3 linked regions of the Callithrix jacchus genome follow. The protein of the gene in region 3 interacts with the protein of the main gene of each other region in a pairwise test. Links are inferred from orthologs where the notes say so. Each region holds a gene or a part of one and is shown on either strand. Other genes may lie near its edges.

Evidence for each region.
Region 1: the proteins of KIFC3 (region 3) and DEUP1 interact in binary tests that used the Homo sapiens proteins (3 or more experiments, as listed by UniProt). The two-hybrid records come from large-scale screens. The link is inferred for Callithrix jacchus from reciprocal best matches to the Homo sapiens genes KIFC3 and DEUP1.
Region 2: the proteins of KIFC3 (region 3) and CLIP4 interact in binary tests that used the Homo sapiens proteins (3 or more experiments, as listed by UniProt). The two-hybrid records come from large-scale screens. The link is inferred for Callithrix jacchus from reciprocal best matches to the Homo sapiens genes KIFC3 and CLIP4.

Annotation. Positions count from the first base shown.
Region 1 is NC_133511.1:46,998,975-47,002,723, forward strand, and holds the start of DEUP1 (deuterosome assembly protein 1), read right to left. Parts: upstream 2,400-3,749; 5' UTR 2,275-2,399; intron 2,069-2,274; exon of another isoform or gene 1,857-2,068; intron 1,802-1,856; exon of another isoform or gene 1,601-1,801; intron 634-1,600; 5' UTR 590-633; coding exon 561-589; intron 1-560. UniProt on the Homo sapiens protein: Key structural component of the deuterosome, a structure that promotes de novo centriole amplification in multiciliated cells.
Region 2 is NC_133515.1:85,967,722-85,971,470, forward strand, and holds the start of CLIP4 (CAP-Gly domain-containing linker protein 4), read right to left. Parts: upstream 2,445-3,749; 5' UTR 2,228-2,444; intron 1-2,227.
Region 3 is NC_133521.1:15,731,158-15,734,906, reverse strand, and holds the start of KIFC3 (kinesin-like protein KIFC3), read left to right. Parts: upstream 1-1,301; 5' UTR 1,302-1,326; coding exon 1,327-1,548; intron 1,549-3,749. UniProt on the Homo sapiens protein: Minus-end microtubule-dependent motor protein. Involved in apically targeted transport. Required for zonula adherens maintenance.

The sequences.
Region 1 (3,749 bases), on a different chromosome or scaffold from region 3:
ATGCTGGTAGCAGGTAAACAGTTAGGACAGATATTTGTAAACAGGAATTTGATTTTCTACAATGACAAATGCTATACAAATTTTATTCCTCATCTCTTCGTGAAACTTTTGGTAAAATATTTACTTCTTGTTGATGTTTTTATGGAGTTGGATCTATTCTGAGGCTATGTTTAAGTGTTGAGTTCAGCCTTAATGGACAAGAATAGAGGGAAACTTGAGATACTCAATGCAGCAAAAAAAGGAACAAGCTGGCGAAGAGGCTGCATTGTGGTAATATAAGAGCACATAAGGCCTGCCTTGGTATCCATCACCCTTAGACATCAGACAGTCACTAAAAGTTGGAAAACTGATTTTTGAGTGCAGATCTGTAGTGTCAAAATCAGAAAGACTCACATTATAATCCTTGATTACAGTCACTTGGTATTTCCTCTCATCCGCCTCACCGAAAACAATTGGCATATCCTTCTATTAACAGTAAATTCCAAAATTCATGTGTTCTCAGGAAGTTTTTGGCATAGTTAAGTATGCACTTATTTAAACAGAAATTTCCCAGCACTTACCCCATTGTATTATGGGCTTGGTTCTCCATGTCAAGAAACTGCTACATCTGGTTTATATTTCTTGATTTTTAACCTGTTGGAGGAAAATGACACAAATTCCTAAAATGTTTATATTCATTAACCTATAAAACATAAAAATGTTCCTACTGCAAAAACCACTTAGTATGAGTTTTTCTGTATAGTAGTAGCTCTTGGTCCTAAAAAATATAGAAACTTGAATTTGTTTTGTGGAGTTTTTTGTTTGTTTGTTTTTTGAGAACGTGTCTCGCTCTGTCGCCCAGGCTGGAGTGCAGTGGCGTAATCTTTGCTCACTGCAACCTCCTCCTGGGTTCAAGCAATTCTCCTGCCTCAGCCTCCTGAATAGCTGGAATTAAAGGCGCACGCCACCACACCCGGCTAATTTTAGGGACGTTAGTACTTGCCTAAAGTTAAAATTTTTAAAAAAGTTTTTCACGGTAACAAAATTTTAGCTAAAAAATATTCTATGACGATAATTGGAGAAAGTATTGAAAACTCCTCTGAATCACTGAATAAAAGTTAATTAAAAAGGATTCAAGGGAGTAGAAAGAGGAGGAAGATTCAGACTCACAACACTTCCAAATCGAAGAGTTTAAGCGAGACCCAGGAATTGTGTGCGGGGCAGACTGGAGACGAGCAGGGATGGTGAAAAAAAAACTTGACCAGAACGAGCAGACGAATAAATGGTTTTGTAGGTTCTCAAATCCCTCACTTAAACGTCAGGGAAACTGAGGCACAGACAAGTTAAGTGACTTGCCCAAGGCCACACGACTAGAGCCCAGGCCTTCTAACCTAGGGCGCAGCTCTGCTCTGCATTTCCAAGGGCGGGCCTCCCCTCCCAGCCTCTGTTTCCCCGCCACGCGCCCCGACGGGACCCGCGCTCAGTTCAAGCCCAGCCTCCTGCAGAGCAGCCGCCCTTTTCGGGGCCCCCCTGTCCCGCTGGATATCCCGCGCCAGCCCGGCTGAAGGGAGAGGGTGAGGTTCAAGGGCGAGGAAGGGCCGGGGAAGCTCAGAGCCATTACCTGCGCTGCACCGCACCGCGCCGCGCTTGCCCGAGAGGTCTGAGGCCCGGGGCGCAGGACCGCGTAGGTCACCTCCCGCCCGGCCAGGCCCGCCCCAAGGGGGCCCGCCACCCGCCGCCGAGCTCCCGCCGCCTAGGCCCTCCAGCCGCGCGGCCCTCTAGGCTGTTGGGGCTCTCCCTCCCAGCGCGCCGCGCCGCCGCTGGTTGCCATGGGGACGTCGCGGGCAAACTCGCGGCTGTCGGGGTGGGGGAAGGGCGAGGCGGCGGCGGACGCGGCCCTTGCGGGGGCTCCTCGGCTGCCTCCAACCTCGCCCCGCGCCAGCGCGACCTCGCTATCCCGCAGTTATGTGTCCAGTGTCCCCTGTATTCTGGGATTTTCTTCTTTGTAGTCCCACTGCTACCCCAGGGCCCAGCACCCAGCTGCAGCCCGAAATACTTGTTGACTTAATGAAACAAGGCGATCACAAAGGTACTGTAGACCGCTGGGGAGTTGTCAGCCAGGTTCTTTAAATCCCCTTGGCCCTCTTTCCTCTTACTCAAATTTGAAGTGGTATGAAAAAGAAACGTGGGGTAAAGAGAACTGATTTCCTTTCCGTTCACCCGACTGTCTTCCAGCTGGGAGGAGCTGGATTTCACTGCTCAGTCCCTGGTTTCTGTGGTGACTCCAGCTTGTACCTGGCTTTCCCGTCACCTATGATGGGTTCTTAGAAAACTGCCAGTCAGGCGAGCGGGACAGTGTTGCCTCCCTTCAGGGAGAAGGGAATGAATGGCTTCTAAGTGGAGAAGCTGGAACGAAACTCAGTGGGACTGATTCCAAATTCCTTCCTTTTCCCACCAAATTCCAAGAGTCATTGATGACAAATTTCTCTCTTCATTTCATAGAGGAAATGATAGGAAAGAATATATGTTTTCCAACTGACACCTTGAGTGATCTGTTTTAAGCACTTGAATTTTGTGTTTGATTTATTTTAGCCACAGAAGTCCTTCCTAATACATGGAGTTGACTACTTTTTATTCTTAAAGTCTTTTATTTGCACTCTACTTTCATCACTTTAACGCTCATTTTCTACTTTAATATTCTATCAATTTAATGCTCACCCACATCCCTCCACCCAGGTTCCCTCTGGATTTTATAAAACCATTATGCTGTTTCTTGACAAATTGAGCTTCACAGATGAATAGAGTAACCTGGGATATTAGTTCTAATAAGTGTTTCATAGCTCTCATGTTTGCATGAAGAGAGTGATCATGCCATTTTAACCTGAAACTTTTCATTATTCTGAAAACTCTTAGTTATATTTTTTATTCTTGTCTGAATTGACTGGGTCAATGTATTTTTTCTAACCCAAGGAAGGGAAAATGGAACAAGGAATGAAATTTAGTGAAATCTCAGATGCCCAAGATCACTAAGGCTATGTAACATTGGTAAGTACCTCCATGTTCATTATTACTTTAGAGGTTCAGAAATACCCTATACACTTAGCAAGTGTGTCAGATGTTATTAATAGCTCCTTTCAGAAGATTAGAAAACCCAGGCTTAGAGAGAATGAAGGATATGTCCATGGATTTGTCCATCTACTTGCACTTGAAATGGATGATTCATTGAGACATGAACCTAGATCATCTTACTCCAAATCCAGTGTTCTCCAAACATTAAGATTGAGTTGGTTTCTTTAGCAGCCAGGATCTTCCTTAGTAAACCGTAGGTTTCATGTTTTTACACAGAAGAGAGGTGCAGGGGAAGGCTTGTGAAAACGTGTGATAAGACACATGCTATAATGGATTTTAGGAAAATTTAAATATAGAATAGGAACACCCCATTCAATTGAATACAAATAAAGGTTTTCATTTCAGGATGAGAGTTAAGATTTTAAATGCAAATACCTGTCCCCTACCCTACTAGTAAGAAGTAACTGTGAAGACTTGAATTAACCCTGAAATGTCTTTATTATTAGATATTTTCAGGTAAGTTTGTTTTGAAAGGGATGAGAACAGGAAGGCCCCAGTCTAAAGGACAGGACGAGTGTGGCCAGGTGCAAAGCTTTCTAAACAGGGCTAGTGAGAGGTGACAAGAGAACTTAGTGATGAAAGAAAATTGGAGAACATGGCAAAGTGACGATAAGATAAAATATAACCAGAAATGGTCAAAG
Region 2 (3,749 bases), on a different chromosome or scaffold from region 3:
CCATGTGTGTACCTATGCAACAATCTTGCATGTTCTTCACATGTGCCCCAAAACCTAAAATGCAATAAAAAATAAAATAAAACAAAAAAGATATACTACAAGGCTACAGTCACCAAGATTGTGGCATTGTCAGAAGAATACACAAATAAATCAATAGAATCTACTAGAGAGCCCAGAAATATACTCACTCAAATATAGTCCACTGATCACTGACACAGGAGCAAAGACAATCCAATGGAAAAAAAGGATAATCTTTTAAATAAACGGTCCTAGAACAACTGGACACCCACATACAAATAAAGGAATCCAGACACAGATCTTACACTTCTTACAAAAATTAACTCAAAGTGGATCACAGACATAAATGTAAAATTCAAAACTATAAAACATCCAGAAGATAACATAGGAGAAAATCTGAATGACCTTGGGTTTGCTGATGACTTTTTAGATACAACACCAAAGGCATAATTCATAAAAGAAAAAATTGGCAAAATGAACTTCATTATATTTTTAAAATATATCTTTCTGTTCTGTGAAAGATCCTGTTAAGACAGTGAAAAGACAAGCCACAGACTAGGAGAAAATCTTTGCAAAACACATACTGGTGAAGACTGTTATCCATAATATAGAAGGAAGCCTTAAAATTTAACAAAAAGAAAATTCAATTTTTTAAATGGGCAAAAACTCTGAATAGACACCTCAGCAAAGAAGATACACAGAGAGTAAATAAGCATATGAAAAGAGGCTAACATCATATGTCATTAGGGAACTGCAGATCAAAACAACCATGAGATACCACTACACACATATCAGAATGGCTAAAATCCTAAACACCAACAACAGCAAATGCTGGTGAGGATGTGGAGCAACAGAAACTCTCATGCATTGCTGGTGAATGAATGGTTAGGCCACTTTCAAACATTGCTTGGCCGTTCTTACAAAGCTAAGCACAGTCTTACCATGATCTAACAATCATGCTTCTAGGCATTTACCCAAGTGATCCGAAAATTTATGTCCAAACGAGAACCTGTACATGAATGTCAGTAGCAGCTTTATTCATAATTGCCAAAATTGTTAACAACCAAGACATTCTTCAATAGGTAAATGGATAAACAAACCATAGTACCTCTATACAGGGGAATATTATCCAGGGACAAAAAGTAATGAGCTATCAGGCCACAAACAAACAGGGAGAAAACTTAACTGCATTTCAGCCAGTCTGAAAAAGCTGGGTGAAAATATGGAGACCATAAAATCATCAGTGGTTGTCAGGGCTGGCAAATAGGGCAGGAAGGATGACCAGGTGGAACACAAGAGATTTTTTTTTTTTAATTGGGGTTTCACCACGTTGACCAAGCTGGTTTCGAACTTTTGACCTCAGGTGATCCGCCCGCCTTGGCCTCCCAAAGTGCTGAAATTACAGGCATGTGCCACCATGCCTGGCCCCCACAAGAGACTTTTAAGTGCACTGAAACTATTTCGATGATACTGTAAGCGTGGACACATGACATTATGCATTTGCCAAAACTCAATGAATGTAAAATACAAAAAGTAAATCCTAATGTAAACTATGGGCTTTAGTTCATAGTAATGTAGCAATATCTATTCATTGATTATAAGAAGAAAAAGGAAAAAAAGTCAATTGTGAAGCTTTTTATTTTATTTATTTATTTATTTATTTATTTATTTATTTATTTATTTTGAGACGGAGTCTCACTCTGTCGCCCAGGCTGGAGTGTAGTGGCATGATCTCAGCTCACTGCAACCCCTGCCTCCCAGGTTCAAGCAATTTTCTGCCTGAGCCTCCCAAGTAGCTGGGATTACTGGCACCCACCACAACGCCCAGCTAATTTTTGTATTTTTAGTAGAGGTGGGGTTTCACCACCTTGGCTAGGCTGGTCTTGAACCCCTCACCTTGTGATTCACCTGAATGGGGCTCCCAAAGTGCTAGGGTTACAGGCATGAGCCACTGCACCTGGCCGTGAAGCATTTTTAATACTCCTTATAGGTTTGGAGCGCTGAACTTTCTGATCATGCTATTATGTACAAAAGTTTGCATTCCGTAAGATATGTCAAAGTTGCCTCTCAATAGACATTCAGTTACTGAAACTCACACTCATCTGTCTCAAATAATGCTACACTGTGTTCAGGATACTTACCTCTGCCTTAGTAGAAATGAGTTTCCTCAGAGGGCTGTGTAGACAAGAGGTTTTCTAGTGAGACTTACCTAAATCATGTGACTGTCTTCTCAGTTCACCTAGAAAAAGAATTTTCAGTCCTTCATGGGTCTTTCTCAGCAAGAGTACAGACTGTTCAGCATGTTGGCTGGGAGTACATGGAAATAGATGTTTTCATCCTACACTCCCTGAAGCCCCTATGCAGATCCAATTACAGAAAGCCTAGTGGTGGTAGCAGGCTCCCGCAGGCCTCCTTTAGGCGGAGTCCTCCTTTGAAAGCACCAGCCAGTGACCCCACAGGCAGCACATACACAATAATGGCATTGTGTATTGGAAGGGCCAGATGCTATTATGACCCTTCACCTACCTTGTAGGCTGCCAACAGCAATGGCAGAGGCAGGAGAAACATTAATGGGGCCTCGACTCGCACTTCACAGCAAAGTAGCATGGGAAGTTTGAAAAGACTCTCTCAAAGTCACTGTCAAGTTGTTAAGGACCTGGGTCACCCTGCATCCCCATCTGGGGCTCCTTCCATATCAGTTTCTCTGAAGTTTAGTCTAACTTCTTGAAGTGAGTCAAGAAGAAGCTATTTCCAAAATTGGATATTGCATCTATAAGACACAAGCTTCACTGATGTCATGGAGTCTATGAGACACAAACTTCAACCTCGTATCATGGAATCTGGAATGGTAAGAACAGAGGAGGGAGCAAGCAGCCCATAAGAGGTCACTAAGCAGCTTTGGGTGCTGGGAGTGGTCACTACCAGAGGCTCAGCTTAGGAGGGCAAAACACTTCCCATCTTTGCCCAAATTGCCACAGCACCCAGCACAAAGCTGTAGGGGTTTCTTTGACTATCAAGAGACCTGTGGCCCCAGTGTGTTTTGAAATCGTGCTAACATGCTCTAAGGAACAGAGTAGGGCAGTAAAAATTGCTGGTCTGTGTTGATTTTCTCTTCTGCAAACAGCTCAGCCATCATTTCACACACAAGGAAAGAACTGCTGTCCAATGCCAGGCCCAGAGCTTCTTGGCTTGTGGCAAGTCTTTGGAAAGACAAAACCTAACTTCATTCATTTTAGCTGAAAGTACTCTGTGGTGGCATTTTTCTGGTCTCCAACTAAAAAAGTGAGTTTGACAAACAAAACATGGGGCATGACTCTAGCTCTTAATAAATTCCAAGCCTTCTTGGCCAAACCATTACTGGGCAATTTCTAGGAGAAAGGTATTCTCACTTAAAAAAAAAAAATTCCAGTTATCAGGGTCCTATGTCTGTTTATCTTTCTTTTGAGATGGAGTCTCACTCTGTCATCCAGGCTGGAATGCAGTAGCATGATCTCAGCTCACTGCAATCTCTGTCCCTGGCTTAAGCAATTCTCCTGCCTCAGCCTCCCAAGTAGCTGGGACTACAGGCATGTGCCACCATGCCTGGCTAATTTGTTGTATTTTTAGTATAGACGGGTTTTCACCATGTTGGCCAGGCTGGTCTCAAACTCCTGAGGGTAATCTTTCTGTTTCAAACTAAAAAGTATTATGTTATTGCCATAAAGAACATTGAAGAACTTGAGGAGGTATCA
Region 3 (3,749 bases):
AATATGGAAAAAAGATCTCCACCTCTCAGAGGCGAGTCTCCCTCATAGAGGAAAAGAGGGAATAATAACAGGCACGAAAATACATGGACATTTTGTCTGTTGGAAGGTGTTAAATGCGACGACTAAAAAGAAAAATGAACCACCCAGACAGCAGAGTAAGGGGTGCCAAGAGCTGGGGCAGAGGTGGAAGAGGAGGAGTGAGCTGTGGTTTTAACTGAGGAGATCAGGGAGAGTCTTCTTGAGGAACAGGCACCTGAGCAGGTGTGGAGGGAGGGAGGGAGGGAGCCCTGTGGATATCTGGGCAGAGAGTGTCCAAGGTGGAAGAACCCATGCGAAGGCCCTGGGGCTGTCTGGCAGATTTTGGGAGCAGAGCAAAGGTGTCGGGAGGGATAGGAGGCTTGGAGCAGAGAGGGCTTGGGTGCCACTGCAAAACCTTAGTTTTTACTGGAAGCGATATGGGAGCTGTTGGGAATAGATGTTGGAAATAGATGCTCGGTGCCGCAAAGAAAAATCAGCCCTGAGACAAAGGATCTTTCAGCAACACAATTTTGGCTTCCGGAACTGCAGGAGGGGTGCTCTTGCCACCATCTTGCCACAAGAGTGGCACGGACGGCGTTGGGCAGAGTGAGGTGATTGCTTTTGGTTTTAACAGGGTCACTCAGGCCACTGAGTTGGGAGGTGATTACAGCGGGTCAAGGACTATTGCGGGAGTAGAGGGAGGGACGGCGGGACAGTGGCGGTGATGAGAAGTGGGCAGATTCTGGGTCATATCTGAAGGTTGAGCCAGCAGGAATTGTAACTGAGAGGATGTAGGGTGTGAACCAGAGTCCATGATGCCTGCCGTGTGCTTGGAGTCATCCAGAAAGGATGCAGGTGCTATTAGCTGGAATGAGAAGGCTGGAGGAGAAACCAGATTTGTGGGGAATGAAAATCAAAGTTTCAATTTGGACGTCTTGAATTCCCACTTGGCTGTCAGGAGCCTAGTTCACTTAATTTTTGTCTCCCTGCTATAAAAATTCTAATTCTTCTCAAGACCGTATGGGCTGCAGAGGAGACGCGCTGGCTAAATGACCGAAAGGGCAACATTTCAAGAACCCTGCTGGTGACTTGGGTCAGTCCCTGGAAACTGAAGACCCTGTCCTCAAAGCCTTTTAAATGCTGAGCTAATGACTGAATGCCTTCCTTGTTCAACACCACAGCTGCTGCAGGGTCCAGCTAGGAATTGGAGAACCAAGTAGAAAATTCCAGGGCACAGGCTGCTGTGGGCTCCAGAGTAGAAGACTGTGCTCCCACAGCCTGTCAGAGCGAGACGGGCTGCAGGCTGCCATGTTTGCCGTTCCAGCCCTGGTGTGGCTCTGTTCGAACACCTGGGCCCTGCGGAGGGGGCGGCGGGGAGAGTGGGACAGAGACTCCAGCACAGGCCAGGAGGAGGCCCCCTGCTGGCACTGGCCCAGCTCCACCACCTCCAAGGAAGATATTCTTGCTGAACTCCAATCCCCCTCCCCAGGGAGCATCCTGATCTCAGAGACACGAGGCTATGGCTTTCAGGTAAGGGACCTGCACCAGAACTTGCCTATGGGTTTACGCTACCTTTTTTTTTTTTTTTTACGCTCCCCACCAAGACAGAATCTTGCTCTGTTGCCCAGAGCTGGAGTGCAATGGCGTGATCTTGGCTCATTGCAACCTCTGCCTCCAGGGTTCAAGTGATTCTCCTGCCTCAGCCTCCCAAGTAGCTAGGATTACAGGCACATGCCACCACACCCAGCTAATTTTCGTATTTTTAGTAGAGACGGGGTTTCACCATGTTGGCCAGGCTGGTCTCGAACTCCTGACCTTGTGATCTGCCCACCTCGGCCTCCCAAAGTGTTGGGATTACAGGCATGAGCCACTGCGCGCAGCCTAGGCTGCCTTTAGATCAAGGAAAAAAACGTTTTTTTTTTTTTTTTTTTTTTGAGGTGGATTCTCACTCTCTTGCCCAGGCTGGAGTGGAGTGGTACAATTTTCGCTCACTGAAATCTTCATCTCCCAGGTTCAAGTGATTTTCCTGCCTCAGCCTCCCAAGTAACTGGGATTACAGGTGTAAACCACCATGCCCAGCTATTTTTGTATTTTTTTTTTAAAGATGGCGTTTCACCATGTTGGCCAGGATAGTCTTGAACTCCTGACCTCAGGTGATCCACCCACCTCAGCCTCCCAAAGTGCTAGGATTATAGGCGTGAGCCACCGCGCCTGGCTTATTTTTGTATTTTTAGTAGAGACAGGGTTTCACCATGTTGGCCAAGCTGGTCTGGAACTGCTGACCTCAAGTGATCTGCCTACCTTGACCTCCCAAAGTGCTAGGATTACAGGTGTGAGCCACCACGCCCGGCCAAGGAAAGAAACATCCACAGGGTGAAGTATTGATGCCTACCTTTAGGTCTTGCAAACATGTCTGAAGATTATTCAATTTAGATATTTCCAGTGTCTTCTATATTCTCAGAAGCTCCTGCCAACTGCCCGGATCTGACTCACAGAGCACCAGGGATTTTGTTTGTTTGTGTTATATTTTTCGTAGAGATGGGATCTTGCTGTGTTGCTCAGGCTTGTCTTGAACTCCTGGGCTCAAGTGATCCTCTATTTTCAGCCTCCTGGAATTCTGGGATTACAGGCCGAGGTCAGGAGTTCCAGACCAGCCTGGCCAATATGGTGAAACTCCATCTCTACTAAAAATACAAAAATTAGCTGGGCATGGTGGTGCGTGCCTATAATCCTAGCTACTTAGGAGGCTGAGGCAGGAGAATTGCTTGAACCTGGGACCATTTTTAAGACCATTTTTCTAATGATGAGTATCTATGCAGCCAGGGCATCAGGGCATCAGAACCCAGCACCACCAGTTCTTGGCAAGGGACTTGAGCAAGTCACTGGATCAGCCTGCACCTCAGTTTCCCCCTTTGTGAAAAGGGCTAACAGTAGGTGGTGATGAGGTGAAGCAGGTAAAGTGCACGGCCCAGAACCTTGCTGGCAGGAAGTGCCCAGTGTTCACATTCCGACTGTCTCATGGGCGAATCTCTGTCCAGTGGTTCAGAATTAATTGAAACTCCTTTAATCTGAAATATTTTACCCTGATTTGCCTATGAGATTATTTTATACACAATTCCTGGCACAGAGTAGATGCTGTATGATATTTATTTTTTTTGGGGGGGGGGAAGAATTTTATTCTTGATGCCCAGGCTGGAGTGCAGTGGTGCAATCTCATCTCACTGCAACCTCTGCCTCCCAGGTTCATGCGCTTCTCCTGCCTCAGCCTCCGAAGTAGCTGGAACTATAGACATGTGCCACCACACCTGGCTAATTTTTGTATTTTTAGTAGAGACAGGGTTTTGCCTTGTTGGTCAAGCTGGTCTTGAACTCCTGTCCCTCAGGTGATCTGCCTGCCTCTGCCTCCCAAAGTGCTGGGATTACAGGCATGAACCACTGTGCCTGGCTGTGCTCTATATTTATTTAGGGGATTTTTTTTTTTTTTTTTTTTGAGATGAAGTCTCACTCTTGTTGCCCAGGCTAGAGTGCAATGGCGCAATCTTGGCTCACTGCAACCTCCCAAGTTTAAGCAATTCTCCCGCTTCAGCTTTCTGAGTAGCTGGGATTACAGGTGCCTGCCACCACACCTGGCTAATTTTTGTATTTTTAGTAGAGATGGGGTTTCACTATGTTGTCCAGGCTGGTCTCAAACTCCTGACCTCAGGCTATCTGCCTGACTTGGCCTCTCAAAG